Linked DNA regions of Drosophila melanogaster. The protein of the gene in region 3 interacts with the protein of the main gene of each other region in a pairwise test. Each region holds a gene or a part of one and is shown on either strand. Other genes may lie near its edges.

Region 1 (5,387 bases), 5.2 Mb from region 3:
TTCCCTCAAAAATGGAAAAAGTCGACCATAGTAATGATTCCAAAGCCAGGAAAAGATAAAACGCAGCCATCATCATATAGACCGATAAGCTTACTAACATGTCTTTCAAAGCTGTTTGAAAAAATGCTACTCCTTCGGATTAGCCCTCATCTTAGAATAAACAACACACTTCCAACACATCAATTTGGCTTTAGAGAAAAACATGGAACCATCGAACAGGTCAACCGAATCACGTCAGAAATTCGTACTGCTTTTGAACATCGAGAATACTGCACAGCCATTTTTCTAGACGTCGCGCAGGCATTTGACAGAGTGTGGCTCGATGGACTTTTGTTTAAAATAATCAAGCTGTTGCCCCAAAACACACATAAGCTACTGAAGTCATACCTATATAACAGAGTGTTTGCAATAAGATGCGATACAAGCACTTCACGCGATTGCGCAATCGAAGCTGGAGTGCCGCAAGGCAGTGTACTGGGTCCAATCTTATACACCCTGTATACGGCGGATTTCCCCATAGACTACAATCTAACAACCTCCACGTTCGCTGATGATACCGCGATACTCAGTCGCTCGAAATGCCCAATAAAAGCCACGGCACTCCTATCCCGACACTTAACATCTGTAGAACGATGGCTTGCCGACTGGAGAATTTCAATAAATGTTCAAAAATGCAAGCAGGTTACCTTTACCTTAAACAAACAAACATGCCCACCACTGGTCTTGAATAACATATGCATTCCACAAGCCGACGAGGTAACATATCTGGGAGTTCATCTGGACAGGCGGCTCACTTGGCGCAAACATATAGAAGCCAAATCGAAACATCTTAAACTTAAAGCAAGGAACCTCCACTGGCTCATAAATGCTCGCTCTCCACTTAGTCTGGAGTTCAAAGCTCTTCTATACAACTCCGTCTTAAAACCTATCTGGACTTATGGCTCCGAGCTGTGGGGCAACGCATCCAGAAGTAACATAGACATTATTCAGCGAGCACAGTCAAGAATTCTGAGAATTATCACTGGAGCGCCGTGGTACCTTCGGAACGAAAACATACACAGAGACCTAAAAATCAAATTAGTAATCGAAGTAATAGCTGAGAAAAAAACGAAGTATAACGAAAAGCTGACCACCCATACAAATCCCCTCGCAAGAAAACTAATCCGAGTATGCAGTCAAAGCCGGCTGCACCGCAACGACCTCCCAGCCCAGCAATAAACTTATTAGGGCATTAATGAAAAAAAAAAACTATCACTAAGTGAAAGTTAATTAAGTTAGATTAAGATTTGAACACTTATTGTTAGTCTCTTAACACAAAGGGAAGATTCAATAAATAATAAAAATTAATAAAAAAAAAAAAAAATTGTGTCGCTTGGCAATTTAATGAATTTTAATGAGAACTTACTCGCCGAATGCCAGTAACAGCTTGGTTCTGCATTCATTTTCATTTGTCTGTTTTGTGATGATTTTTGATTTTAGACAAAAGCATATGTACAAGACGATATGGATTGTTACTATAACCGACGACCCTCAAACTGGGAACATAAGTTCTCTTTTGATCTATATTGAGTAAAGAAATTTATAAATGAAGATCTACGTTTCCGAAATTCCCCCTATAGAGCTATAAAACTTTTGAATTTTTTAGAAATGATTTTTATTTTTAAGCGAAATTGTAGTTCCTGACTCCTTCCTAGATGCCAGTGTTAGTCTTGATCCAGTCCAGGTAGCTGGTCACACGAGTGAAGGCAGCGGGGTAGCCCTTCTCGCAACCGGCAGAGGCACCGAATGAGGTCAGACCGATCTGCTCGCTGGACGACTTGAGGACCAGAGGACCGCCGGAGTCACCGTTGCAGGTGGACTTGGCGTCGGTGGTGGCCACGCAGAGGGTTGAGTCGGTCACGACCGAGGTGCCGTAGGTTTGGGCGCACTTGGTGTTGGTGATCACAGTCAGGTCGACATACTGAAGATTGGTAGCCACACCACTGGAGGTGTCACTGGTGCGTCCCCATCCGGAGGCGACAGCGACGTCACCGACGAAGGTCGAGTAGGAGTTGGAGATGCTTGGCAGCTTGACGGCGGAGATCCTGCTGCTGGAGGAGGTGGCGGGGATCTTGATCAGGGAGATGTCGTTGCGCAGGTTAGCGCTGTTCCAGCCGGAGTGGATGATGATGTCGGAGCTGGACACGGTGTGGGTGATCTCGGCGGAGGTGCGCACGGTGGCGCCCAAGTAGACGGTCACGGACTGAACTCTGCGATAAATCAAACATACAATTGGTTAGGACATTGGTTCCAAGATATTTTCGGCATTCCTTCAAGGGACACTCACCCATCGGTACAGTGAGCAGCGGTCAGGACCCAGGTGCTGCCGATCAGAGAACCACCGCACCAGGCGCTGGACAGAGCACTCAGCTTCAGGGAAAGTCCCACCTGGTAGGGGAACTGGCCGACGGCGGCGTTGCTTCCTCCGGTGATGCGACCTCCAATGTCGCCAACGACGGGCATCTCGCGGCTGCGATGGCGCAGCTCCGGCTCGGGGAAAGCGGAGGCGGCCACAGCCAGGGCAAGGATGATCAGGAACTTCATCTTGGGAATTGTTGCTTGTTCAGTTAAGGGAACTCAACTGTTTGGCCAAGGACCAGCTGGGGTCTTTTATACTGGCCAAGTCGCGTCTGCGATTGGGTTGCAATTCAGAAATAGAGCTGTCCCGATTAGATAGGACCACTAAAGTCGGTTCGAACTACCTTATCTGTTGAGATTTTGTGCCGAAGATATGAATGAATGAACTTCAGCCACACGGTCGCCAAAATTACTTTCCCAATCCAAGAGTATTAATCCCGATACGGATCTAATCAGGGCTATGGGCTTCGAGTGGATTTCCAGATCGAGCCGCTGCGATACCAAAGGCCTAGCATGGGGTTGCTAATTAATTTGATTAGTTTTACACATACGCGATATATACATAACTATATATTGCGATACAAAATTGGCAAAGGTTTGCTTTGCTCTTCAGCGTATCTTATAATTCCCATGGTAGTCGAGTGCTATCTTATCTCCTGTCTATAGGGTGAGAAGCCGTAAGCCCACAGTTTAGTTGGGTTTGTTTACCTTCGATAAAGGTCAAGGAGTAGGACGTGAGTTGGTCAAGACTGCTTAAACTTCATAGGAAATCATACCGCCGTCTAACAATTGCGTATCTGGACTCTCTCTTTGATTACAAACACGCAAATTTCAGTTGTTTTCGCAACCGCAGCCTTCTTTATCAGCGAAAGCCGCGTGATTTTATGACGCGTTCAACCGACCACATCACTGCGGTTAATAGCCAATTCAGATGGCCAATTGAAGGCGATTAGCGGGAGGAGGCGCTGCGGTCTGTACCCAATATGCCCTCACCAAAAACGGACACTCAACCCAATGATTTCAATTTCAGTGGCGATTCATCAGCAATTTCCATGGCAATGTAATTTTTCTTTTGTGCCCTTATTGAGCTCCCCAAATTGACTTGCTCTTCTGCAATGCCGAAATGTTTATTGTTATTTATCGGTAACAATTTTCATTCAAGAGAAAACAACCACACATAAAATGGACCATTTGCACCTTCCTTTCTCGACAGAAGAACCTGTTTTGGTTTCATTGCTCAAATTGGTTTTATTGTCTGGGCCGACTATATTGTTTAGCAATTAATGGGCTGCAATTAGGCGTTAATTGCATTTAGTTGGTCATTGCCGTTTGCTGTCGGATCCATGGCAAATATGCGGTTATCCTGGTGTAGACAGTGGGACCCCCCACCTCGCATCCTTCGGCACTGCCGAACGAGGTGACCCCAATCAGGTAGCTAACATTGCGCCAGTGGTACACAACGGGGCCACCGGAGTCGCCATTGCAGGCACCACGTCCATTGCTTCCATCGGTGCACAGGTGACGTCGCTGGCTAACCAATCCTGGCAGGAAATAGCAGATGCAGCGTTCCTGATCGATCACCTCCGCATCTAAGTACTGGAGGAGTCGCGTCCGTTTGTCGGTTGAATCTCCCAAGTAACCCCAGCCAGATAGGGTCACCACTTTGCCTACCAGAAAGTTTTGATGCATGAACTCCCCAGCCAACTCAATGGGTTGCACTTGTTCTGAAGTTCTGACTTTTCTTGGCAGTCGTATTAAAGCCAAGTCACTATATCCTCCAAATCCCAAGTAATCAGGATAAATAATGAAATCTCTATGCGTGACTTGTAACTCCTCCACGGAGTCTTCTACATCGGCAAATACGGTGGCGCCCGTGTATATCTTTGCAGCTATGGCATCGGTCAGACAATGGGCTGCAGTCAAAACAAATTGAAGAGTGATAAGGGAACCACCGCACTTGACCAGATCTGCGCCACTCAGCTGAATCACCAGACCCACTTGATAGGGAAACATGCCGCGCGTGGCCAATTCTCCTCCAGCTATTCGAGTTCTCACAGCAGCGGTTTGATTACCTTCCATCTCGAATTTTTCGCAGCGAAGTCGAAAGTTTTCGTAGCCAAGCTGCCAACGTCTTTCCATGATTGCATCGTCATCGTCCGGTGTCTCCTCTTTGGGGTGCTCAAAAGTATCTAGCCAAGGCTCACTTGATTTAACTAGTGTGGATGATAGAAGTAGCAGGAAGAAAGCACTTGTAGCCTGGTATTGCGCCATTTTATCACTACGGAATTGAAAAAATAATATGGGGAATACCTGTTATTGCATTCTATACTATATCTTTTAAATGTAATATTTCCTTTTTCTGACCAAATTCATAGAATACCCCCCGCCCCCCCCCCCCCCTTAAATATGTGAATAGGAAACTCTATTCATTATGTTGAATGAAATTTATGAATGAATTGCCTTTTTATTTACATATATTATATATATAGCTGATGTTCCTCGTAATGAGTTAGTCCAAGTTCAGGTCTGAGTGGGCTCTTCACGTGAAGTACTGGGCTTGTTGTTGTATTTGCTGGTGTTTTTATAGTCAGCGATTGTGGCATCGACATTGCGTCATCGACTTGGATGCGGCACGTGTCCGCATCGTTTGTTAATTGAATTTGCTTGGGCCGAGTGCAAATTATACGGAGACGGGAGGAGCAGCAGATGTTTGGCATTCAATTCCTCCAGCTACCGTGTAATTGCCGCACGTTTTGGCGATTATGTTGCTTAGGCTAGGCCTTCGTCTCCCTTTGGCATACTGCAGTTTCCTTAATTGCTTTCGAACCCCCCATTTTCCCGGGTCCTCAATTGCACGATTTCAGTCTTAGCCCCCAACATTGGCCAGAATGTCTGGGTCGGGGTCTCTGTATTTATTGACTGTCGTTTTATCAACGCTTAGTTTATTATTTGTTTAATTTACTGCACACCTTCGCCTGCATTTCGACACA
Region 2 (7,884 bases), 1.5 Mb from region 3:
AGGAATGTGATATGAGGAGAGTATATAGGTAAATAATCAAGTCTATCAGATGTAATCTTTTTAATCTTTTGGTTTCATAATTCAAAACAATGGTTTTCTTTTTTTTTACTATGTACAATAATTACTTTTATTGTATTTTGGCAAAAGTCTAAAGCTAACAACTAGTGTATCTATGGGTTTACATTAATTTAAGTGTTGCGATGAAAATTGATTTTGGGATCTAAAACTAGAACAGTGCCAGGAGTTTTGGTGCGGGATCCCATTTACCGAGTCCCCCTAAAGAACAGAACGCTAAGCGACTAGGCGGCTTAACCTACTCCGACTAACAACTAGAATCTAACAACGGATTCGGTTCAGTTGTTGTGCGGGAAACATTGTAGGAGAGACTATATAGTTAGGCTAGATACCGCGTCAAAGTAGTTAACTAACTAGCCATATACATACGTGATATACATATACCTATTTATAATCTATCAAAAATGCCGTCAAAATGGAATTTGTTCTCGAAACTGGAGGAGAAGGATAGGATTCTCTTTTCATCTTCGATCGTTTGGTTTCGGTTTGTTTTGGAAAGTTTTCTTAGGCTAGCTTATTCAGTGGTATCTCCTCAGTGGGATGAACCTGATCCTTTGGCTCTGGTTTGCTAGTGCGGCAGCATTTGGTTTTGATGCCGCCAATATCCTGGCGGCAAATGAGTCCGATGACGATGCCAATCACGGCCAGAACCATGATGCCTAGTGGATTAAATTGAACAAATTAGTCTGGTTTTGTACCGCAAGTAAAAGGTGTATAACTCAAACTATAACTGTTTAGCAAGATGCTTAAAATAGTTGATGTTATAAACCTTAAACCGCAGTTTGTACTCACAGATGAGCAGCGTGTTGATGGCCTCCTGGGAGATCTGCACCTGATTGGTCTGGCTCTCGGCAGGCGGCTCCACGCTGACTCCGCTTGTGCTGGTCTCGGAGCTCAGGATTCCGGCTTTGACCAGCTCCGTGCTGTTGTCCATTTTGCCCCGATTGCGATTGGCTAAATGCGAACAATGGGAGGTGAGCAACAGACACGTTAGCAAGATGATCTACGAGTCATGGGAAATAGCTCACCACTTCTGGGCGGTGCGGGTGTGGCGGTCACTGGCTTTGCAGTGCTGGTGATGCTGGCGACGATGGGCGGATTTGTAATCCCCTTGAGCGGCGGCTCCGTGGGATAGATGAGACTGCCGTTGAAGGGGGTGCCCAGTACGAATTCGTAGCAGCTGATGTCGTAGTTGAGGAAGCTAATCGTGTCGATGGAGGTCAGCAGGCTGCACAGCTCCTCGATGTTCTGTTGTTCCAGTTCCGGCAGCTTCAGTTTAATTATTTTTGTTAGCGGCGAGAAAGCTTTCGTATTGATTTGCTGTCGGAATGGAAAAGCGTGAGCGGGACAACTATATAGACAACTGCGCGATGGCAAACACAGCTGTTTTGGCTTCAGTTGCGCCAACTATCGATAGAGCGATAACTTGTGCTATCGCACTTTTGGCTCGCCATTCTTACCTGTTTAAAATCGTTCTTGTTCAAGCGCAACACCTCCAGGCCACTCATGTTCTGGAACGTCTGTTCCGGCAGTTCCGTCCAGCTGCAGTTGACGCAGCTGAACTCCACCAAGTCGGGCTGGTTCAAGAAGGATCCGTCCAGGCGCTGGGTTATGGTGTTGTTGCTCAAATCGAGTAGCGTTAGTTCCTTGGCCGCCGCAAAGGTGTCGGGATCGATTTTGGTTAGACGGTTGTTGGCCAGCCGCAGGCGCTTCAAACGCTCCGATCCCTGAAAGACCTACAATAGATAATAAGCACATTAGTTACAATTTATCTAATTAGTAGAATTAGCTGGGCACTTACATCCTTGTCTATGCTGCTGATCAGATTGTGATTCAAATTGATTTCCACCGCCCTGGACAGATTGGCAAAATCCTCCGGCCTCAGTTCGGCAATCACATTATGGCTCAGATCGATGATGGCCGCCGTTTTGGGCATGTCCAGGGGTACATGGGTCAAATGGGCATTGGCACACTGAACGAACTTGAAGTCCTCCAGGCAGAGGCAGTTGCGCGGGCAACTGGGCTCCAGGACATGGTTGCTGCGTCGTGGTATATCTGCAAAACGATATTCATTAGCCTTTTCAGTTCGGAATATATAGATTTATGTTATGCTCACTAAATATTGGTCGAAATGTGGTGGTGGTCGATGTGGAGGATGATTGTGGCATCAGTCTATTTTCTGCTGTCTCCGGCGATTCCTCGCCCGTCGCTGTTTCACTGTAGTCATCATCGCCGTAATTAAAGTCCTCGAGGGGATTTGCCTCCTCACTGCCCGCTGGAGCGGCATTTGTGTGGCTGATGCTGTAAGAGTAATCATTAAATTATTTTCCGGTCTCGACTGAATAAACCAACAATATACCAATTTGGTTTTTTCCACGACTTATAAACGAATTCACATTGCTTATGAAGAAAAACGCAGGGCAATTATATGTCAAACGAATGCGCATTTCTGATAGAGCAATTACTGTACGAATTCGTTAAGTGGTTTTACCAAATACCCAAAATTGTCAATATTTGGCTTTAGATTGTCGGTGGGTTCTAAGCGGTACGTGCTTACATCACTCACGTCTTGAAGGCGAACACACCTAGCTAATTTGTCCTGAAAACGCTCTTGACCCATATCGTTATGACCACGCCATAGCCACACAGAAACATTCGTTTTCCCCACTATCATTATACGGCTATTGTTTATGTTTGCTCCGCGAAAGAACATGAATGAATACACTCACATGTGCGAACAAGCCTACATACAAAGTATTTCTCGCTACAGTCGTGGTCACAGCAATAGCCCTTAAATGAATTAAAAGTATTCAATGATACAAGGCTTCTTAATGCAATTCATTAGATTATGCATATATTGTAAAATATATTTTGCCTTTCGTTTTTTAAGAATAAAGTAAAATCAAATAGATATACTTTCAAGCTAAAGAAAATAAAGAAAGCACACATTTCTTTTATTGTAACTCAAGCACTTTTATTGTCTGTAAAGTTGTTTATTTGTTTCTGTTAACTGACCTTACATTTTCGAAACGTACTGTAGCTACTCAGTAAAAAGCACAGATGAAACCAGTTTACTTCATGGCAAAAGAGACAACTCGACCGGTTTTAGTTTACGATTTCGTTTACTCTCACTTTTTTCAGATTTATTTTATTTTTTTGCTGTCATTTGTGACCCCTCTTCATTTTTTTTTTTGTCTGATTCTAAATCGTTCGTTATCCGTGCATTCGGCGACTTCAGTTCTAGTGGGTTGTATTTACTTTTAGAAAAAAAGGTGTAAATTGGCTAGTAGAGTAGTTCAAGTGAGTCTTTTGACTGCCATGTAGAGTTCTCTTCAATTGCGTGACTTTTGAGTGAAGTTTCAATGAATGCTGCTGAGGAGCCTTGTCAATCCTTAAAAGTGCCAAAATGAACAGAATGAACGACTTTATAGAGTCGAGTACTTGAACCGCAAGTGCTGATATGTAGCTATTAATTGGTATATAGTCCTACCGGATAATAAAGATATATTTATCGAACGTTACGAATTGCCTTCAAGCTTCAGCTGCTCGCCGAAGTTAATGGGTATTACGAAAGATCTCTAAACTGTTACTAAGCATGACGACCTAGTCGACGTAATTCCCTTGACTACTTGAATGAAGTGACTAAAATTGGAAGCGTCGCACTTAAAAGCACTCTACTTTGACATTTGATTTCGAGTGGCTGAAAAGGTTTAAAAAGGCCCAAAAATCAATAGAGAAATGGGCTTATGTGCACTGGGAAAATTATACTAGTACTAACATGCAAAGAACGATTAAAGAATTTTATCTTAGGTTTTAAAACTCAGAAGTATTTAAAAAGATTTTTTTTAGGGCAAGAATATAGAATATTTATACATAATCGATAATGTCTAAACCTCGTTTCAGTTGTAAATTAAAAGAAAAATCTGAAAATCGAGACAGTTATAAATTTCTATGTCATTTGCAATATTGCTTGAGATATTGGTTGAGAAATTCAAAACGCTGAGCAAACAATTTGATAAGCAATAACGGTATAAATTATCGGACAACCGGGGAATTGTTATTATTTTTATCAGAACCAGATTATGCGATATGATTAAGTAGAGTGTAAATTCGTGCACCTTATATATATATTAAAGGCGGCAATTAAGAGCGGTTGCCGTGGACTATCAATAAAATGTTGCTGTTTTTTTTTTATAACCCCATGCGTGAGTATTCCATTTGGCATTGATATCTCAGTTGTGGGCGGGTCAAAGTCCCGTTACCCTGGTTCACCTGTCGTTATTTCGTTTTTAGTGAATTAATCACTGCGAATGTTGCTAAACGGAAACTTTGCCCCGTGTCTTCCCTGTTTTTCGTTTTTAGGAAAGGGTCTACTGATTTCTATAAATAAATGGATTACTTATTTTCCAGCCCCATAAGAATAACAAATGTGATTTCTCCACATATCGAGATCTGTAAATATTTATTACAACTTGATTTTTACCTCACGCTTAGCAAAAATATCAGCAGTAATCCAAACTTGTAGTACACGTGCATTATTATGAATTATTTGTTTACTGATATTTGTTTAGCTTTGTTTTCACTGCGTCTTCAAGGCGTCGTGTTGTTTGTATTTGTGTTTATCTCAGGGTTTTCATAGCATTTTCGTCGTTTTTGCCAAACTTGATGTGAAAATTTTCAAGCTGAAAATAGATTTTATTAGGTGTTAGGGGCCTATTTTTGCACCGCTATTCTCGTTTCACTTTGCACTTTTAATATTCATCTGTTTTGCTTTGAAATTACAGCTTCAAAGTTGATTAATGTCCATTTACATTTGCCGGCTTACTTTTGGCAAAAGTAAAATAATTATTTTTCACTCCGCTCGCACAAACTTTTCCACTCGCTGCCGATTCTCGAATGAGCAAAAATTCGCCAACAATTCCCATTCCGTTCGACTGACTGAACAGGTGTGTGTGTGAGAGCTTCGAAGAGCGGCAAATATTATCTCTTTTTCTTTACTCTCACTCTCTCTTCCAAACTCTCTCATGTTAAGTTTAATGTTTAGCCGTGGTTATCTTATCAGTTTTTAATATTTAATTGCTTTGTCTCATACCCTCGCGATTTCTGCTTAGCTTTTAACCAACTTCTGACTTACTAATCGATTATTATCAATAGTAACAATTATGGAATTCATGTTTTCAATGAAAACAGAAAGAGCAAACTCACACTTTAAGCACCGTAAATAAAGGCTAATCGGTTTGGGTAATCCTATCTTAATTAATAAGCATTACATCACATTAGAAATTAAAATTTCAATTGCCATATTTTCAACATAATAACTTAAGCAGCAGATTTGGAAGTACAAAGAAATCTTTAGGACGGCTTGTAATATTAATAAAATTAATTACACACTTGTCTGATTAGAATTAACGCCGATCGTAATGAACTTTGCTTTGGACTTGACTTATAAGTCGGTCGGCCCGCCTTTTGATATGAAAAAAGGGAAGCTTTCACAGTTTATTTACATAATTTGCTGGAAAAATGTGAAACACTTGGCTGGCTGAATCATAGCGATTAAATTGGACGTGATTTGAGTGAAAAGTTTGTTTGAATATTTGTTTCACCGAGTGCTAAGTTAAACTCTTGTTTTAATCCCGTTTCTAGGTCTTTGTGTTGTGATTGCGATGAACAATGTATAGCAGCAGCGTTCTTTTTATCGCCTAGAATATGTTGACCTTTAGTCCACTGCGCTTACTTCGAATGACACGCGTCGTCGTTTTTCTCGATAATATATGTACTAAATTGGGTATTACACTAGAGAGTTTTCTCATCGAATTCTACTGAATGGAGGAGTATCGCGTTTAAATTATACTTAATGATTTGCTAACTTGGCTTTTTGTTGTCGCGCGATAACGTGCGACTCATGCCACCGTCGATTTGAGAATGAGCTGCGAACGGAACCGCAGAAGTTGCGAGCTTAAAAATTGAGTAAGTTGAAATAGAGCGGCTGAAGAGAGTCTTCTCTTAGCTTTCGAATCGCTCTCTTCACACTTGATTCTTCAAAATAATATTTAAAAAAGAAAGAAAAAACAGAGAAGCCCATTAATTACGCAAGTGCATTTTTCAATAAATCGCTGACTCATGGGCACTTGTTGCCGGGAAATGGCATTGCATATAATTTAGAAATTGTTAAAAAGCCCCAGAGGAAGAAAAACCCTCTTCGTTGCGAGTATTCCACCATTTCCTTCAAACTTTTACTTTTATGTTTATGTTTATGTACTTTACATGTCAATGACTTTTTGTTTAATGTTCTTCGCTCTTCGCTTCTCTTCGGCGATTTTAGCGATTTCACAAAAAGCGAGTGCAGTGAAATCTTTTGTCATTTCAAATTGGCTGTTTAATTGCCTAATGTTGCTTTGTTTGCTCATTAAACTGTAAGTGGTCCATATATTTTCTCATGAAAAACAAAAAATCCATAAAAGCGGATAAAAATGTTCGCCGCGCACATTACTTTTGTTGGTTTTTGGTGGTTGTGTTCGTGTGGAATTCTATAGTCATGTCTTCGATTGGCGGCCTCAAGGTCAAAAATCGCAAATCCTTTTAGGCAACTTGCTCAGGCCAAAAATATAACGGCATTTTGGAGAGACAGGGGTTCGTTCTCTTCATTTACATTTTAGCGAGGGCTGCTTACAAAGTTCTCCCATATCGGGATATTCTATTTTCATTTTCAAGTTTTTCAAAAACTTCTTCATGATAACTGATATTCCTTTTTGCTGTTTTCGAATGCTTAGAGGTTTATATTTTATTTGAACATTTTGTTGCCTTTTGTTTAGCATTCACTATCATATACTTTATCAATGGCTTATTATTATAATATTATATTATATTATATATTAAAAGAGAAAATTATTAATTATTCTCAAATGAGTATGGAAAAATCACTGCAGTGAACGGGCATTTTTAAAAAACCTAACTGGTGCTTTACTTCAAAGATTAAAGATTACATGGAAGTGTATTTAAAATTCCAAGTGTAAATTCCCCTAGCATATTCAATATTCTATAGCTTATTTTTACCCCAACTCTTTCTCCGCATCTGCTGACATAAACCGGAACAGAACCTTTGTTGGGCAAACGACAAAAGAAAAGCAGCTGGCTGTCTGGGCTGATCCATAAACATATTTCCCTAATTCCAGTTCTTGATTCAGAAAATTGCCATAAATCATATTCGCTTTGACCTTGCCGTTTTCTATGATTGACTGGGATTTGCACAAAAGTCGAGCGAGCAGCTGGAAGCTAAAAGATGGAAAGACCGACTGAATCAAATCTCGGGACTCTTTCATTTTCGCACTGATTGGACTTAATTCGTTTGCATGGGTTGCATTCTGCTTTTGAGGTCTTTTGGGGTCCCAGAAGATTTATATGCGCGCTGAACTCTTGACTCGTGGGGGTCTCTCTTAATTTAATTTCCCAATCAGCTCCACTCACGCTCTTCATCCTTTCTCTTTACAGTATTGCAATGGCGGCGACTTGGCGGATTATCTGAGTGTCAAGGGGACGCTCAGCGAGGATACCGTTAGACTCTTCCTCGTGCAACTAGGTGAGATTCGAAAATCCTATATAAGGGGTAGCCCTAACTAATAATTGTCAAAGATCAATATAAATTGTAACATTAATATTACTTTAGAACAACGAAATGTATTATAATTAAATATCAGAAGATCGGAAGTTAAAGTATACCATTATTTCCATTTCCCCAATTCTAGCTGGTGCTATGAAAGCACTTTATACCAAAGGAATTGTGCATCGTGATCTCAAGCCACAAAACATTTT
Region 3 (8,468 bases):
ATTGTAGTTTCGCCCCATCAAACCCCACAATAACCGCACCGCGTACATTTCGACCAACACGTACTACTCTATACTATACACCATATATGTATATATATATATATATATATATATGTCTGGGTTCCCATACGATCTATGTACATATGCCGGAGTGTTTATTCAAATATTGTTGTCAACGGTTCGCGCGTACGTACACTTGCACCCTTTTCATTTCGACTTTCTATTCTGGGAAATGACCGAATATCGCAATTGGTCCAAAAACAAAAAAGAAATTGTCAAAATGCCTGGCGGTTTTGCCCCCTGGACCGCTTTCCTTTTCGTTTTGGTAATGACTTGAGGTGGATGCTAGATGTTCGACATAACAAGAAGAATGACAGCATTTTAAATGACTTTCTACACTCGATGTTCTAGCGAAATATGGCACACGTCTTGCCGCAATTACAGTCCGTATGCGAATTAAAGGAAAAATCACTTTCATTGAGGTAGGCGAATTGTGAAATATCTTTGAAATACACATTGATATAGTCCTTGTCAGTGTGGTTTTTGTTTTTGTTGGGAATATTAAGTGGTGTACACTTGTACAACAATCACAGTTTAGTTTCTTTATAGAAAATATATTAAATGATAGATAGATAGATATAGGTAGATATGATAGATATATCATTAAAAATATGATTTATGATGCATTATATAGGATATGATATACAATCAGTTATATTATTATTTAATTAAAATCCAATTACCAATTAAAATCCAATTAAGTTACATATACTGGTTAAAGTTCAGGCTTGAGCCTTTATCTTTAATAAAATAACGCTTAATATATATTAAAAGCTATATCTATATATATGTACTTAAAACTTTAGCACGGACTTCTATAAATGAGCTTGAGATAAAAAAAACCTCTGGCATATTTTGACCTTTAAAGATTACTTTTATGGCAAATTATTGTCAAGCCCATGCCTTTGTGATTTATTCATATTCCTGCACTTCTGGTTGGGGGTAACATCAGCCTGTTTGGCCAATTGCAGCGTTGCCGCTTTTCAGCCAAGTTCATAGTACCCATCGCAGCCCAACAACAAGTTGGTAAGCCTAGCCCAAACTGGTTGCCCAATTGTCTTCCACTGCTGATCGCGAGGCAGCGATTGTTGCCGTTGCCGTTTGTGTAACTACTGCAGTGGTGCACTCAAAAAAACCGGATGATACCACCAATTATTTTCAATGTTAATAGTTTTTATATAGCAAAGCTTCAAGTATGCATAGATCTATGTAGATTGAACTATCCACCAAAATAATTTTAACTTCAAGATGAAATCGGGTTGTAACTGCAATTATCAGTTATGTGCTCAATAAATTTATTCAGTTTAAAAAATAATAAAAAATAAGTTATAATATAATTGATGCATTTCAATTTGTTACTAAAACATCAATTTCATGTTCATATGAATTCAATGGAAATTGGCTTTTGTTGAACGTATTTCGCTTTCCTGTGGTATTGATTTCTTTCAGTGTATAACTTAACCGCATTGCCACTTAGAGAGCAGAGTTTCTCGCAGTGCAGTTGCCATGGCCGTGGCAGTAACGGGTTGTGCGGCAAGCGGCGTTGCCGCTTTTCAGTGGTTCGGTGGCTGCTGAAAGAAAGTTGCACCCGCAACAAGCTGAACCGCCCCTGCCCGCCCCACACCCTCTCTCCACCCCCTTGGCTCCATTGGAGCGCCCCTGGGATCCAGCAGTGCTGGCAGAAAAGAAAGCCGTTGTTTTAATTTTTTCCACAATTATTTTCCGCTAGCGCAGGAAAAATTATATGCTTTTATTTTTGTAATTTTTTTTTGCCTTTGTTTTTCGCTCTGTATGTGTGGTATGGATTTTTTTTCACATTTTTTGTTTTGTTTTGTTTTGGTTACAAATTTCTCACAATTATTTTGTTGTTTTACGCAATAAAAAAAACTTAACATTAAATACAATATATTTTTGTTTTTTCTTTTTTGTTTAATAATAAAAAATTAATACATGTATTTTTTTCGTATTTTGCTTGTTTATTTCTTTCTCTCTCTCTCTCTTTTTGTAATAAATAGGTTTTTCGCTTTGATAGATACTTTTTGCTGGTAATAGATACTTTCGTGTGTGTTTGTATGTTGGTGTGGATGTGTGAATGGTGTGTTAATGTATTTGTGAGAACATTAAGTTTTCCTCATTACGTTAATTGTAATTTTTACAAATTATATCGCATTGCATTTAATTAAATTTTCACATTTTATTTGACGATTTGTTGATTTTATTTTTGCAGCTACATTTAAGTTTTTGTTTTCATATCGCATTGGGAGTTTTTACACAGACAAAAAAATTTTACAAATTTTTTACGCTTTCACATTTACTGAGATATTCATTGCCTTAAATTTTATGCTTGATTTTTTTTTTAAGTTTAATTTATTCTCGTTTTTATTTTTTTGTTGTGGATTTTCTTTGTGTTTTTATTTATTTTTTTTATTTTGTGTAGTACGCGCTATACATTTAATAATATATAAAAATTTGTTAAAATCCTAAAATTTGTTGGTTTTAATTAATATTAATTAATAATTTAAAAAATTTTTATTGCAGCAAGCTGCGTCTAACTAAAATTGGAGCGTGTGATCATCTACCTCTTTCACAGTTCGAGGCCCTCATCTCTCTCAGTTTTAAAGTTAAATTTTAAATTTACCAAGATCAAGTTTGTTTGTTTTGTTGGTTTCTTTGTTTATTACTATATAGCATACAATTTTTAAAAAAAAATCTGTTCTTTTGTATTGTGGTTTTTGTTGTGTATGGGGTGTTTGCGTGTTTGTGTGTGTGTGTGTTTGTATTTTCTTGTGTTGTGTGTTATGTGTAATTTTATCAACGTCTTTTGCCGGACTTTGGTGCATCCGGCAAAAAACTCTTAGCATCTTAAACAGTATCACATATTCATGAGTTGTCGACCGGCGAGCCCCAAAGCGAATGCCCCAGAAATATGATTCTGGGGATTGATTCGTGGGGCTGTCGTCTTTGAATTTCATGTTGGTTTTTTTCTTTACTTTTCTTCCGCTCTTGTCGCCTTGTTTTGTTTTTCTTGCTTTTGCGTTTTTGAAAAAGGAGAAACAACTTAAAACTCTAGTTATTTGTTATAGCACTACGCATCTAAGTAAAATGGTGGTGAGAGTCACAATTACAAAAATCGGGCCTTACGGTCCCATATATAGTATTAGTATGAGAGTGTGGTTGGCGTAACCTAATGTGTATGTGTGTGTGTGTGTGTGTGTTTGTGTGTATGTATGTGTGTATTAAAGGTGTTTGTGTGTGTGTGTGTGTGGTGTAGGTGGGGTGGCTTCGAATACTTGCTTCGTTGTTGCACTTCAAACTGCAACAAACTACTGCTCTCGATCATCACAGGGGTGGTGTTTTTTTTGTTTCGCGCAGACACATATACGAACATATGCATATCTGACAGATCAAGCTGATCACCATTAGTTGGTGGGCGTGGCGATGGCCGCACTGGGTCTATGGGCGTGGCTGCCGAAGCTATAGCTCCTGCGTGCACCCAAACCATCAGCGGAATATAGCTTATTCTTGGTGATCGTATACTCCGGACTGATGGTGATCGTGCGGGCCAAACTCTTCATGAACTGCGGCAACAGCGACGTCCAGCCGCGATGATCCTGCCTGAGGGTCAGATACACTTCGAATGTGGACACCGTATCCGAATCGACCTTGATCGAGGCAATGCGACGCGAATTCTTCGGCTCATCCTCGAACTCAATGTAGATGGTGCAGCCGCGTATGCCGCGGGGCTCCTTCTCCGACACGCGGATTATTTCCCGGGCCACGCTCGGCGTGAGATCACAGGGTAGCGACACTTCCGTACAGGTCAAATGACGCGACTTGGCCGCCCTCAGTTCGTCGAGCAATCGCAGGGACAGCTCCTCGACAGCCTTCTTATCGTAGTTGCTCAGTGCATAGTCAGCGCTACCGCCCTCCTCCTCGTCAGCAGCGTAGTAGTAGTAGTTGCTATTGCTATTATAGCTGCCGCTGGGCTTTGTCTTCTTGCTCTGACTTTGGCCAACATTGTTGTTGCTGCTGCCCGCCGGCTGCTTGTGCTTAATACTGCTGGATGTGGATGTGGTTGTGGATGTGGCGGTAGCATTGCTGCCATTGCTGCTGCCCCCGGTTGTCGTCTTGGCCTTCTTGGACATCAGGTCCAGAGTGTATGCCGACGGCGGTGGCAGTCTGCTGGTCCAATCTGGAATGATTGAAAAGGAGGAAAAACGATTGATTAGTAAAAGGTTTTGGTAATAAAACGAGGTAGAATACTATTAAGTTTCATAGAGTGTAAAAATGTAGTGACGAATGTTACTAGTCAATCTTAAAACACCTCTTAAATTCTATTGCTACATCTGGCAAAAATTAGGAATAACGCAACGGAAGCCAAAAACAAACAACTAGGCAATGAGGAAACAGCCGCTTGGCAACAGCGAACGAGAGTTCAAAGCGCAGCACGCAAACGTGAAGCAGAGGCAAAAGCAACGTTAAAAAAGACGGAGGGCCAGAGAGACGAAAAGAAAACGAAAAATCATTTTTTTATTGCTGCTGGGAGTTTTTTGTTGTTGCTGCAATTTGCGTACGTGACGAACAATTTAACATGATTTTTTATGACATTTTTCCTTTTTGTAATTGCAAATTGATTTTTTATGCATTTTTTTGTGTAAATGTAAATTACAAAGTTAATTGCTGATGAAATTTCAAGGAGCTTTGTACAGCAGTTGTTGTTCATCTTTTTTTTTATTTAAATTATACACAAGTTCAAGAACAGTTTAAGTATTCAAAAAACATTTAAAAATATGTACGCTTTATACACAAATTTGATAAAAGTAGACTGCATTTTGGGAAACACATGTTTTATTTTAAGTTTTAAAATCTTTCTGGAACTTTCCCGATTCTTCCCTATAGACACAAATTTCTCTCCGAATTTTCGGTACACTTACCTTTATTTTTGTTTGATCCCTGCAGGCTACCGTAGATGATTTGTTCCCGAGCAATAACATCCATTTTCATCGGTTTTTCTGTGTTTTGTTGGCTTGGAAAGTCGAATCGAATCGAAAGTCGTTCGTTCGCTCGCTCGCTCGCAATTTTCCGACGGCTTTTGTCGCCTTCTTTGTATATCACTTTTACAATTTAATTAAGCTTATTTAATTTATCACAATTTGCTGTTTGTTTTCTTGCTGATTGCTTAAATTCTTCCTCTTTACGTTCTGGTTGCAGTTTAAATTAACATTTGTTGTTGTTGTTGTTGGTTGGTTGGTTGGTTGGTTGGTTGTTGTTTTGTAGTGGAAATCACAGCACTTATGTTGTTTAAACTTTTATTTGTTTTGTTGTATCACTTAAATGGCGTTGGTCCGTTGCATTTGTTTGATGGCAAATTTAAATGTTTAGTTTAGTTTAAAAATATAACGTCAGTAGCATAGAATTCTTCGTGAAACAGTGTTGAATGATTGAACTTTTTGGATTTGTAAAATTTTAGCAGTGGAAAAAGTCTGGCTATGCACGTTTTTGCTGCTGCTGCTTCATTTGATTTTCTGGCTGCGAGAGTCTGTTTTCTTGTGTACTGTGTTCAGTGTTTTTTTCGAAGCTACTATGAATTTCTCGCCGGTGCGCCCGCCTTTTATACTCATCGACGCTACAGCTGTTTCACTCATCTCTGCGTCCGCCGTCTCGCTCATGCGCGCTCATGCCGGCGAAAGAGCACGAGAGCGCAAGAGCGCAAGAGCGCGAGAGAGAGGGATATAACAAACGGCGTACGTGACGCGAAAAGAGGAAAAGAAAACCCCGAATTTGAGAGAAAACCACGAAAAGGATGAAAATTGGAAATGTTCTCCCGCAAGGAAACGAATAAAGCAACAACAACAACAACAACTACAAATGCAATGGAACGAAGTGAATTGAAAAAGAGGCAAGAACAAAAATCCACCCCGGCATTACTGGCAGGCTAAAAAAAAAATTTTCCACTCCGAAAACGAAAACTCAGTTGCAAGTTGCAACATGCTGCAAATAGCGGCTGTTGCCAGGCCGCAAAAAAAGATACGAAACGATACGAGAGATACCAGCTACAAGATACGAATGTATCTTCAGAATTTCCTTTTCGCCTTTTCCACGGAAGCGGGCGAATGCAAATTTTACAGCGCTCGCCGCGCTTCGGCAACCAAAAAAGTAAATCTCGAGAGAAAAACCCATCAAGTCGCAGGAAAATCCCTATGAGGAATATTAAATCAAAGTTTTTGTGCAAACGTTACTTCCATTAAATATTTAATAAAAGCGCTGCCTGTGTGCATTTCCTTTTAGTTTTCATGTTTGTTTGTAACGCTCGAAGTTAACATTCTGATAAAATAAAATAAAATATTCTGTGCCCGTTTTTATGGTTATTCGTAAAAATAAATTTCGGTTCAATTTCATAAAATTCTTCTATTTTTATACCATAATGACTTTCAAAAAATGTAATCAATTAAATTATTCTAATCTGGTAGTAAATTGGTTCCATAAAACAGCAAATTTATTTGAAAAACGAGCTGGAATAGGTGTGAAATATCAGGCCACTATTATTTTATTATGCTTTTATTTTGCTTTTTTTATAGAATGACTACTTTGAAAATTTACATTTTAAATTTTGAGGCCGGTTGTTGTTTACTAAAAAAAAACTAAATAATAAAATATATACTTTTCTTACACATATGGCGAAACTGGAGCACATATAAAATAAAATGCAATAAATCCTTTGTTAACAAATGTTTAATTTCACAAAAACATATATTTCATGATTGCTGTCTTTGTTGCTTATCTAATCTGTGCGTATTTTATTGATAAAGCTGAATGTGAAACATTTCATTACATATCATTACATTTGGTAATGTTACGTTAAATGCATTTCTTTCATATTATCATTACGAATTATACATTCCACTTTGTTCCAAATATGCAAATTTTCCGTATATAAAATAATTTTCCAGGAACTTTCATTTTGCCACAAGTAACGTGTTAAATCTATAAACATCTTCTTTCGATCCAGTGACGAATTTCATCATAATTTCAATTTTATGCTCGCTCTTTGATATGAAACTCGCACATCCGTTTATTTCGAGGAGCTGTTCTTATGAATTCATGGAGAATTTCATCAGCAAATGAAAATGTGAGATGTGGCATAATTTCATATTCATATCATGATCCATGGCTGTGTGTCCTTTCCTTTCAATTGAATGCATTTTCCTGCCATCTTCATCTTGATGGTGATTTTATTTTTTTCTTCGCTTTTAGCCGGCATTGTTGTTTGCTGACCAAAGCTGAAAATGCTGCACGTAGATTGAAAACGAAAGATTGAAATGTATCTCATGAATGCCCTGCCCACCCGAAAAAAAAATAAAGGAACTCAAGAAGAAAAGCTGAAATCCAACTTGTCTTCTGGTGATGCTGGCTCAAATAAATAAAATCAAATTTCTTTCAGATTGAAATGAAATTCCATGAGGCACGCATATGTGCTTGTATCTGTGTATCTTTGGGATATCTTTCGTGCCACATTAGCTTTATGTAGATGTGTTTTGTCAGATAATAAATGAATTGAAACGAGAACTTCTTTTGTTTGACTTTTGGCCCCTGACTTTGTCACATTGCGAAGTGAACCGAACTGAAACTGAAATTCATTGATAAACCTGAGCACTCTTTGAAATTTCGCAATCTTTGAAATGCGACCCCCAGCCGCCGCCGCCTCCCCCACAAGCTGATTAGAAACAGGCAATCCACAAACTGCCAAAACGAGCCTCTCAAAAAATAAACAACAAAGAACTGTGATTCAGGTCGGCCAACAGACGACTTTCATGGGTTAATGATCAGCGAAATTTATGGCCAACACCCAGATATATACGGGTATAAATTGGCTTATAGGGCATATGCTTGCTTATTTTCGCCAATAGATAGCTGGTGACGCCTTTTGTTTAGTCATTTCTATAATTTCAACAACAAAAAAAAAGATGTAGAAAATATAGTTAGTAATTTAGAAAATATAAACCTCTACTAATTAGGTTTATTTAATTCACTTTATAGTATCGCCCACTTTCAATTGAGTTAAGTATCTTATTTCGTTTACTCAATTGCAATTTGTTTTCCCCATCCCATTATTCATAAACAGTACACAAATGACTTTAATGTAGAAAATTTAAATTTGAACAATTTCGCAAGGTAAATCAATCAACTGTGAGATTGAAATCCACTTTCCCAACTGTTTCCTTTGTGACTTTGCGATACATGGCCAGCCGTAGCAGCACATATGTATAGAGAACTTTCCCTCGGTGTGTTCTCCGCTTTTCCGGGAAAGCAATTTTCACAAAGTTTACGCTTTGGCTTTGGCTTTCGCTCTTGTGGCCCCCTCGAAGGCAATTTGTAAATTTAAATTAGTTTTACTAAACACAACACAT
Region 4 (8,208 bases), on a different chromosome or scaffold from region 3:
AAGATGTTATACGGCGCACCACATCCGGTGGCACTTGTGGCTCATCTGAGGACTTTGAAGGAGATAAATATAATGCATAGTGGGCTATTTTTCGCCTACCATATACGATGGTCCCGAATCGGTGCCGATGTCCCAGGGATACAAATTCAAGACCTTTCGCTCCAGCCACGTACAATTGCTCAAGCAAAGCTCCAATCCAGCCACGCCCAGTATCCAATCGGGTGAAGGATCAATCTTGGCTGCTAGCGATATCTGATGGTGTACTGGATCCAGACGAGCATTGGCCAGGGTTGTGCCAAATGTTTTCGGACGATAGGGAATTCCAGGAGCCTTTATTATAGTTCTCACCTCGCCATTCTGTTAGAAACACCATGATGAAGTGGATTTAATGCGATAAAATTGATTACCTACCTGAGTATTCTCCCTGATCTCATTCTCAAGGGTACGTGTAGCTCCGTGCTCGGCCAACTCCTTCATGCCCTTGCTCGCTCTTCCTCCGTAGGCCCAGTAGCGATAGCTGTGGCTATGTGAAGCACCAATCACCTCGCCCAAGCGTGTGCGCCAGTCCTCAGAGGGAAAGTCCTTCCAATGGGTGTTCCTTGCCCACTTTCGCTCCAGAACAATCTATTAGATACGATTATTTTAAACACAATATTAGGAAGAGTTGAGAAGATATTCCAACCTCATATTTGGCTTCATCACAGGCACAGCAAGTTTCCAAGGGTGGTGTTAAGCTGTTCAGTTCGTCGATTTCCTCGGGACAAATCCGCTTGGTCAGGAAGCCATCGTCCAGAAACCACACATCACGATGTTGAACCACACCAGCCTTAATCAGTACACAACCGCTGTCCGGATTACGTGGTGCTATCCAGGATACCGCGATATAGATCTTGGCATTCGTATTTGTGTTCTCCACCATGTTCTCACAACTGGTACTGAATCGGGTGTCTCCGACTCCCAGCAGTTCAAAGTGACCGGTCATATCCTGACCACCGAAGGCAGCCGACGGATCCTCAGCCTCGACCACCAAGGTGAAGCTCACGAATTTCATGTTTATTGGACAGGATAACGAAACTTATGATGATAATAATGTTGAAGTAAAAGCTTCAGGACAACTCGAGACTCTCACCATTGTACTGATGTTCTGGCACATAGGTCTCTGGATTGCCATCGATAAGGATCTTAAAGTTATCATCCACAGGCGATCGAGGGCCACTGGCACCTTGGGGTATCCGATTGCAGACTCCTCTGACTTCGGAAGACAGCAGAATGAGGAGCACGATATGGCGAAGCATCTCTTCTCAATCTTAGCGATCCGTACTGGGTCGAGGCTCAACGGCGACTGACCAAAACTGATGGCTAGCCATCTCCATTAATTGATGAGCATTTCCAATTTATCAATTATCCCTTAAATGGCGCTCTCGGCGTTGACAGCTTATGGCATCTTGATTGAGTTGTCTTCAATTAGGAATGGTTTGTTTTTATGGCAAGCTTTTCAATTGATGAATTGTGCCCGGGTTCTTTGAACTTGCAACCCGGCGAAAAATCACTCGTAAACTGGCCACTGTTTGCTTAATGGAACTGGGTCAAGGTTAAACTCAATCGGAATTGGAATTACCACGCGAACACAATTCTGTTTTATTGTTTTTAATACATATTTAATCTGTTGCGAGAAGAGCTAGTGTAGGTAGTCTGGAATTTTTCATATATTTAACGATATCCATTGGTAATGATTACATAGTTGGATTAGAACTAATACTTGTAGCAGTTAATGGTATGTTCACCACCGCTCTGGATCATCGTTGCTGGTCAGCTGGCAAGGCATCATCACGCACTTTTCCATGCGGACGCGATCCTTGCACTTGTAGCTCAGATCGGTGTTCATTAGGGTTCGGGTTCGTTGGCGAACGGCATTATCGCCACACGTGGCGGTGCATGGTGTCCAGGCGGACCACTCCGAGTAGCGACACTCGTCCTGCGGTTCCGGTTGCGGAGCTCTTACCACATGCCTTCGCTCTCCAAATCCCCGTCCACTGATTGAGTACATGTCATCGCACCGCTGGTAGCAGCGATCCAAACGTACCAGGTGCTTGGGACATGGCTTGCCTCCATACTTCGGAGTACGGAGCACCCGACGCGTTCGCAATTGGAAGCCATCGCCGCAGGAGGCGTTGCAACTGTGGGAAACCCAGTCAGAGACGAGACAATCAATGGCTGGAATGCCATCGTGCTGCAGTTCCTGTTTGTGGCGCGGCAGGCGACATGTCTCCTCGCACTCCTCCTTCGACTTGAATTTGTTGCGATTTGTATCACAACGATCCGACCAATAGATGGCACACTGGTCACTCACATGGTCGTAGTACCAGAAGTTGGCCACATCGTTATCCCGACACGGACTGTCGGTCAGCTCGTCGTAGCAGAAGCCGGGAACAATGGTATCGCAGCTAGGATTGGTGCAGTTCACCTCCTCGTGCAGCTTGATGTGTCGACAGGGATCCTGGCCGTCATCATTGGGATCCGTTACTCCGTACACCTGGTTGTTATTCCACACCTTGCGAATACGTTGCCGCTTTCCATGTCCACCGCATGGCCCCATGCACGGCGAGAAATCCGACCATGGAGTGACCCCGCAAACCGGTGGTATGTAATCCTCCCGATGCTGACTGTAACTCTCGAAGTTGCGGAATATGGAGCGTTTCTCAGCGGATCCACCTCCGTCGCCACCGGCCTGTTCCTCCTCCGGTTCCCCAGCACCACCTTCGTTCTCGATGTCCCCACCGCATTCCATTGCCTCGCAAATCTTGGTCTCATGCAGACGCGCCCTGCTTGCCTTCTGGCACTTCTTCTTGGCCTTCTTGTTTAGATAGTGTCGGGATCGGGTCATTTCGCCGGTTCCACAAGTCACGGTGCACGAAGACCACTCCGACCAGTCAGACAGACCGCACTGGGGATCGTCGCTGCTACCTGGTGATGGCGCCACCTCCGGCTCGCCGCCTTCAGCTGTCTCCTCATTGAAGCCAGCGCACTTGTGTCCCACGCAGTTCTTCTCCTCACGCAGGGCATTGTTGCAACGATGACGCTAAGGTAGGTGTCAAAATGTATATATAGTATGGGATCCAAATTATATATGTCGTCTTAATTACCGAAGCCAATGCAGGGTTCTTGAACTCTCGGATTCTGTATTGCTTGCCGGGACCGCACTTTGTGGTGCATTCATCCCATCTGGACCACGAGTTTGTGGCGCACTCCGGCGGTACCTGTTCCGCTACAGGATTAAAGTATATAGTATGTATATTCACAACATCAATATATGGTTGCATTTAACTTACAATCGGAGGACTCGCAGTTCTTTTCGTAGAGTCGTCTTCGATTGATGTGCAGGGTGGCCAATGGCTTCATCTGGGCACCAGTGGGATCATAAAAGGGCGAACGGGGATCGTTGGGGAAATTTGATTTGATGCGGCGCACAACATCTGGAGGCACCTGTGGCTGGTCAGCGGACTGAAAAGTATTCGTGATTGACTCTACTGAAGACTAAATCATGGAAATCGTCTTACCATATATGATGGACCACTATCGGTGCCCGCATCCCAGGGATATAGGTTGTGCACCTTGTTCTCCACCCAGGAACAGTTGGGCAGACATAGCTCGAGGCCGGATACACCAACGATCCAGTCTGGAGAGGGATCCACCATTGATACGAGGGAGATCAAATGGTGGTTGGAGTCGACGCGAAAAACGGCAAATGTTTTGCCCGTAACATTCGGATAGGCAATGCCCCTTGCCTTGATGATCGTGCGAATGTGTTCGCTCTGATCCTTCAGCTCACTCTCCAAGGTCCTTGTGGAGCCATGCTCCGCCACCTCACGCAGCCCCTCGCTGGCCAGCTCTCCATACTGCCAGAATCTGTAGTCCAGTGTGTGCGAGGCACCAATGATATCGCTGAATCTGGTGCGCCAGCTATTCGCTGGAAAGTCCTTGGGATGTGTGTGACGCGACCACTTGCCTTCGAAGGTAAGCTGAAGTAAGGAGGTGTTAATACCATTTCAATAATGAGTTAAAAGAGTCCCACCTCATATTTGGCCTCGTCACAGGCACAGCACGGATCCACGATGCTGGGCTGGGTGTCAATGTCGTCCACCTCCTCCTCGCACATACGCTTGGTAAGGAAGCCATCATCCATGAACCACACATCTCGATGCTGCATCACCGTAGCCCTCAGCAGGATGCAGCCCTGTCCCGGACTCGATGGAGCCACCCAGAACACATCCACGCGTGTCTTCACGTTCGTGTTGGTATTCTCGACAAGATTTGGGCAGCGCGGACTGAAACGGGTCTCGGCGAGATCGGCGATCTCCCAGGTGCCCAGGGCATTGGCGTCACCATCGCCGTCACCACTCTCCAAATCCAGGGCCAGCATAAAGCTAATGAAGGACAAGCCAGAAAATGCACTGAGGCTAACTGAAAACGAGCAGCGAAAGATTAGAGAATTGAAAGAAAAATCTAGAAATTTGTAAATTTAATTTAATTTAATGCTTAATTTAATGCACTCACCATTATACCTTTGACCGGGCACATAACTCTGCGTATTTCCGTTTACGGACAGCACATAGTTATCATCCACCGGTGACTTGGCTGCTGTGACTCCCGGTGGGACCCTAATGCAGCCCTCGATCCGGGGAATAACACCCACTAATGCGAGAAGAATAGTGAAACCTTCCAGAGCTTTCATTTCAAAGAGCTGCAATGCAAAATTGAGTGGGAATACAAATTTACAATCATTTGATGCAGCCACGTGGTTGTGGGGGAAAAAACTATTTCTGGCCAGCACTTAATTGTCTTAATTATCCGCATTGGTATCGAATGTCAATGGCAACCAATGGAGCCTACTTCCAGTTTCAAACTGAACTTGAATTCGTAGAAATAGCCTTCAATTGAATGACTTTGCGTGATGTCACACATAGTGCATATTGCTATTTTCGCAGACACTTTCCATTTCCTTTGAGATCCAAATTATGCCAGCTCAATTGCCATGCGGAACTTGAACTAGGCGGGTTGTTGGTTGTTTACCCCTTGAAAATCGGATCGCATTGCGTATATACAATATATAGTCTGTACTATATAGACCGTCTACGTCACTGATTAAATTCAATTGAAAAACGCGCCGACTGTCTACAGCGAATTCGAATACAAGGGGGTGACAAACGTCCATTTCCCATGGATCTAAATCATTAAAGTCACTTTTAGGGCTTCTTCACCTCAGTACTGCACTTATATTGTAGCACCCACTTTCACTAGCACATCATGTATGTTAATCCAGTTGATTAAGTTATTTTGAGAAAATAAACTAATAGCAAGGTGGTACAGATTGTTTTTTCATACTCTTGTTACTCAGTATTGATGGATCGTAAATGAAACAATCTCGAAATATATGCTTTTAGAGGGAAATCCGAACTAAGAACTTACTCGGTGGACGCACGAACAGCAACTGAATGCAAATTTCGCCGAGTCGATTATTGGATGGACGATGTGCATCATTCGGGACCGACGAATGGATTACATGGAGAACCTCAGAGAGGGAAAAACTGCTCTCTACTTTTCCCTCCCATTTAGCTTAGTTTCCGCTTCTTTTGCAGATTCGCATTTGTTGATAGAAACCATTAGTTTTCATACGCTCATTCTAAACAAACAGACCCCAAAAACACCGGGTACATTGGAACTGAACAAGTGTGCTCTGAGTTTGAATTCATGTTACTTCCACGAACCACCTCGTTTGGATTGGTCAGAAAGCATTTTTGTACCATTTACACTAGACGTAGTTCAACTGGAAATATTTAGAAACAAATTTTCTATACTATTTTTTCCTCATTTTGAACACAAAAATCGTTTACAAAAAAGCGTTGATTTCCGAAACTTTAGATATGAATTCTTCCAGCGTGACGCCGCGTTCAGTTCGTAGTAAGTACATGTACCTTGAACGCTATACGAATGTGTGCTTCAAATGCTCGTTATCCTTGTTAGGTAACAAAGCATTCTTGCTGAGGACAGCTGGAAAGGCGGAAAAGCAAGCCTCAGACAAAGCTACATGGGTGAGTGAGATAGAAGAAAAGGGTTTAGTTTTTTCAAATGCTTTACATCCCCGTCCCAGTCTCGCACTTCTTCTTGTGGTGGCGTCTTCTCTACTCCTCCCACCCAGAATGGCGACGGAAGCCCAAACAAAGGTAGGCTCAGTCACATTCCAAATAGGCGTGGAGCGAGTCGGTCGTCTATCCATTCGCGAAAAACTTCTCTGGAACGGGTTACTTCTTCGACGAAAGCGCGCCCGTGTGTCAGTACGTATTCGTTGCCCAATCGACGGGTCGAGCCCGAGCATAAAGTAGTTGAGCCCGATCGGAAAACTGATATCGATGAGTTGAATCCCCCCAAGCGGAACGTGGTTCCCATAAAGACGCATGCCCAGTCAGCACAATTGGTTAAGTCAACGACATGCGGTGGGTATCGCGAATATTTGAAACGTGGTCCAATTCTCTGATTATTGCCGTCCACAGAACCTTATCAAAATGTAAAGAAGCCTGAAAAGATGTCGCATCGCCGTGTCCTGGAGATGAACCGGATGCGGGTCTTTGATACGCAGAAAAAAAAACTGGAGAACCTGCAGTCCGAGTTTATGCACAAGATCCGGTTAATGGGTTCGGAGCTCCGGAATCAAGGGGTCTTCAAGTTTGTGGGTCTGACTGTAAACGATGAATGCAAGCTTGTGGTCCACCATGATGATCTACTTCGATTGCCCAAGAGTATTCGTAAGTTCGTTTTGATTTTACGTCTTCGATTGAATGAATTGTTATCCTTGAATTATCCTTCTTTCGCTTACAATTGCATACTTTTATTTTCTAGCCGCCGAAAGTATGAATGACTTGAAAACCAGGTGTCGTGCGATTGTAGATCAGGGGGTTTTGTTAATCTACGACCATATACCAAGAATTCAGAGGGCTAAAAATGATCTCGAGGCTAGTGAAAAGCGTGAGGAAACTCAAAAAAAGTTGTCTAACCTAGTGGTATGTTTTTGTGCAACCGCTATGATGCACTAGCAATGTGAAACTATTTTATTGTGTCTCCAGGAAGAAAAAATGAATTTAATCGTCGAGGAGATCGAACAGTTGTGCGGTGCATGCTCCAAACAAGAGTCACCCAACAAAAGTCTCTATCGCGAGATGTCCGAGTTGCGTTCCCAGAAACAGGCCATGGAGGTTCGTTATTTTGACGCCCAGAAGGAGCACACTGAACAGATGAACCAGTTGCGGATCGAGCTCGATGCCAAGCTGAAACAGGAGCTGGCCAGTCGAGATCAGATCATTGTAGAGCTGAGAAAGAGCCTGCGGCGAAGCGAGGATATGCTCAGTGAGCAGTCCATTCGATTGGCCGAGAACAATTCCAAGCTATTGACCGAGGATTCCACCATCGAGGTACTGCGCTCCGAGGTAGCCAAGCTCAAGACTGTGTAAGTTAACTGGTCATCTCGGCAGATGATGGTTCTTACAGATCTTTCCTTATATCGTATCTAGAAAAGAGCAAATGGTTAAGCGTCTGGAAGAGGCGGACAAAGGTCTGGAGCGGGCTCGAAATTCCGTCGATAAGAACTTGAAACACATCGATTACCTGGAGGGCGAACTGAAGGAGGCCCGTGAGCTCATTGTCCATCTGGAACAGCGTCCAGATGCCATGGACGCGGGAGTTAAAGAAAAGGATTTGATCATTGCCGATTTGAAACTGCAGCTGCAAAGTCTCGAGCAGCATAAGAAGGTCATGAACAAACAGGTGGCCAATACAATAAAGCAGCATGCCGACTTTGAAGAGCTGGGTGGAAACTATAAGGAAGCTCTACAGCAGATAAGGTAAACTGCTTGGTTAACAGTATCATAGATTATGTATATTGATTAACATATCTCTTGCTTGGATAACCAGCGATCTAAGGGAGACCCTAAGTGTTACCAATGCCAAATTGGAGATGCAATCCAAGCTCGAAGTGCAGCTGCGCAAGGAAGTGTCCAAGATGCGCGAGCAAATGGTTATCGATCAGAAGTTGCTGAACGCTCGCAGCGAATTGATCGCAACACTGCAGAAGAATGAGGAGGATAGCCGCACCAAACTAGACCAAATGTACTATCAAGTTAGCGAGAAAGAAACGCTTATCAATCAGGTCCGCCGAAA

Evidence for each region.
Region 1: the proteins of scyl (region 3) and Jon65Aiv interact in a two-hybrid assay, tested with the Drosophila melanogaster proteins (one large-scale study listed by BioGRID).
Region 2: the proteins of scyl (region 3) and CG42709 interact in a two-hybrid assay, tested with the Drosophila melanogaster proteins (one large-scale study listed by BioGRID).
Region 4: the proteins of scyl (region 3) and CG17739 interact in a two-hybrid assay, tested with the Drosophila melanogaster proteins (one large-scale study listed by BioGRID).

What each region holds. Positions count from the first base shown.
Region 1 is NT_037436.4:6,036,392-6,041,778, reverse strand, and holds Jon65Aiv (jonah 65Aiv), read right to left. Parts: upstream 2,625-5,387; 5' UTR 2,584-2,624; coding exon 2,327-2,583; intron 2,250-2,326; coding exon 1,691-2,249; 3' UTR 1,644-1,690; downstream 1-1,643. Other genes in the region: CG6462 (uncharacterized protein), read right to left, coding at 3,709-4,668.
Region 2 is NT_037436.4:12,788,308-12,796,191, reverse strand, and holds CG42709 (uncharacterized protein), read right to left. Parts: upstream 6,001-7,884; 5' UTR 5,810-6,000; intron 4,975-5,809; exon of another isoform or gene 4,758-4,974; 5' UTR 4,612-4,757; coding exon 4,559-4,611; intron 2,377-4,558; coding exon 2,192-2,376; intron 2,131-2,191; coding exon 1,877-2,130; intron 1,812-1,876; coding exon 1,536-1,811; intron 1,396-1,535; coding exon 1,104-1,395; intron 1,030-1,103; coding exon 868-1,029; intron 735-867; coding exon 580-734; 3' UTR 108-579; downstream 1-107. Other genes in the region: Atg1 (Autophagy-related 1), read left to right, coding at 7,564-7,651, 7,818-7,884.
Region 3 is NT_037436.4:11,249,487-11,257,954, reverse strand, and holds scyl (scylla), read right to left. Parts: upstream 5,649-8,468; 5' UTR 5,065-5,648; coding exon 4,995-5,064; intron 4,253-4,994; coding exon 3,480-4,252; 3' UTR 1,783-3,479; downstream 1-1,782. UniProt on the Drosophila melanogaster protein: Inhibits cell growth by regulating the Tor pathway upstream of the Tsc1-Tsc2 complex and downstream of Akt1. Acts as a cell death activator during head development.
Region 4 is NT_033778.4:12,303,812-12,312,019, reverse strand, and holds CG17739 (uncharacterized protein), read right to left. Parts: upstream 5,493-8,208; 5' UTR 5,467-5,492; intron 4,742-5,466; 5' UTR 4,733-4,741; coding exon 4,555-4,732; intron 4,462-4,554; coding exon 4,073-4,461; intron 4,020-4,072; coding exon 3,558-4,019; intron 3,502-3,557; coding exon 3,330-3,501; intron 3,266-3,329; coding exon 3,144-3,265; intron 3,080-3,143; coding exon 1,781-3,079; 3' UTR 1,608-1,780; downstream 1-1,607. Other genes in the region: CG30203 (uncharacterized protein), read right to left, coding at 1-52, 100-357, 412-624, 683-1,074, 1,130-1,295; salto, read left to right, coding at 5,922-5,958, 6,022-6,089, 6,149-6,491, 6,549-6,800, 6,895-7,055, 7,119-7,498, 7,563-7,892, 7,963-8,197.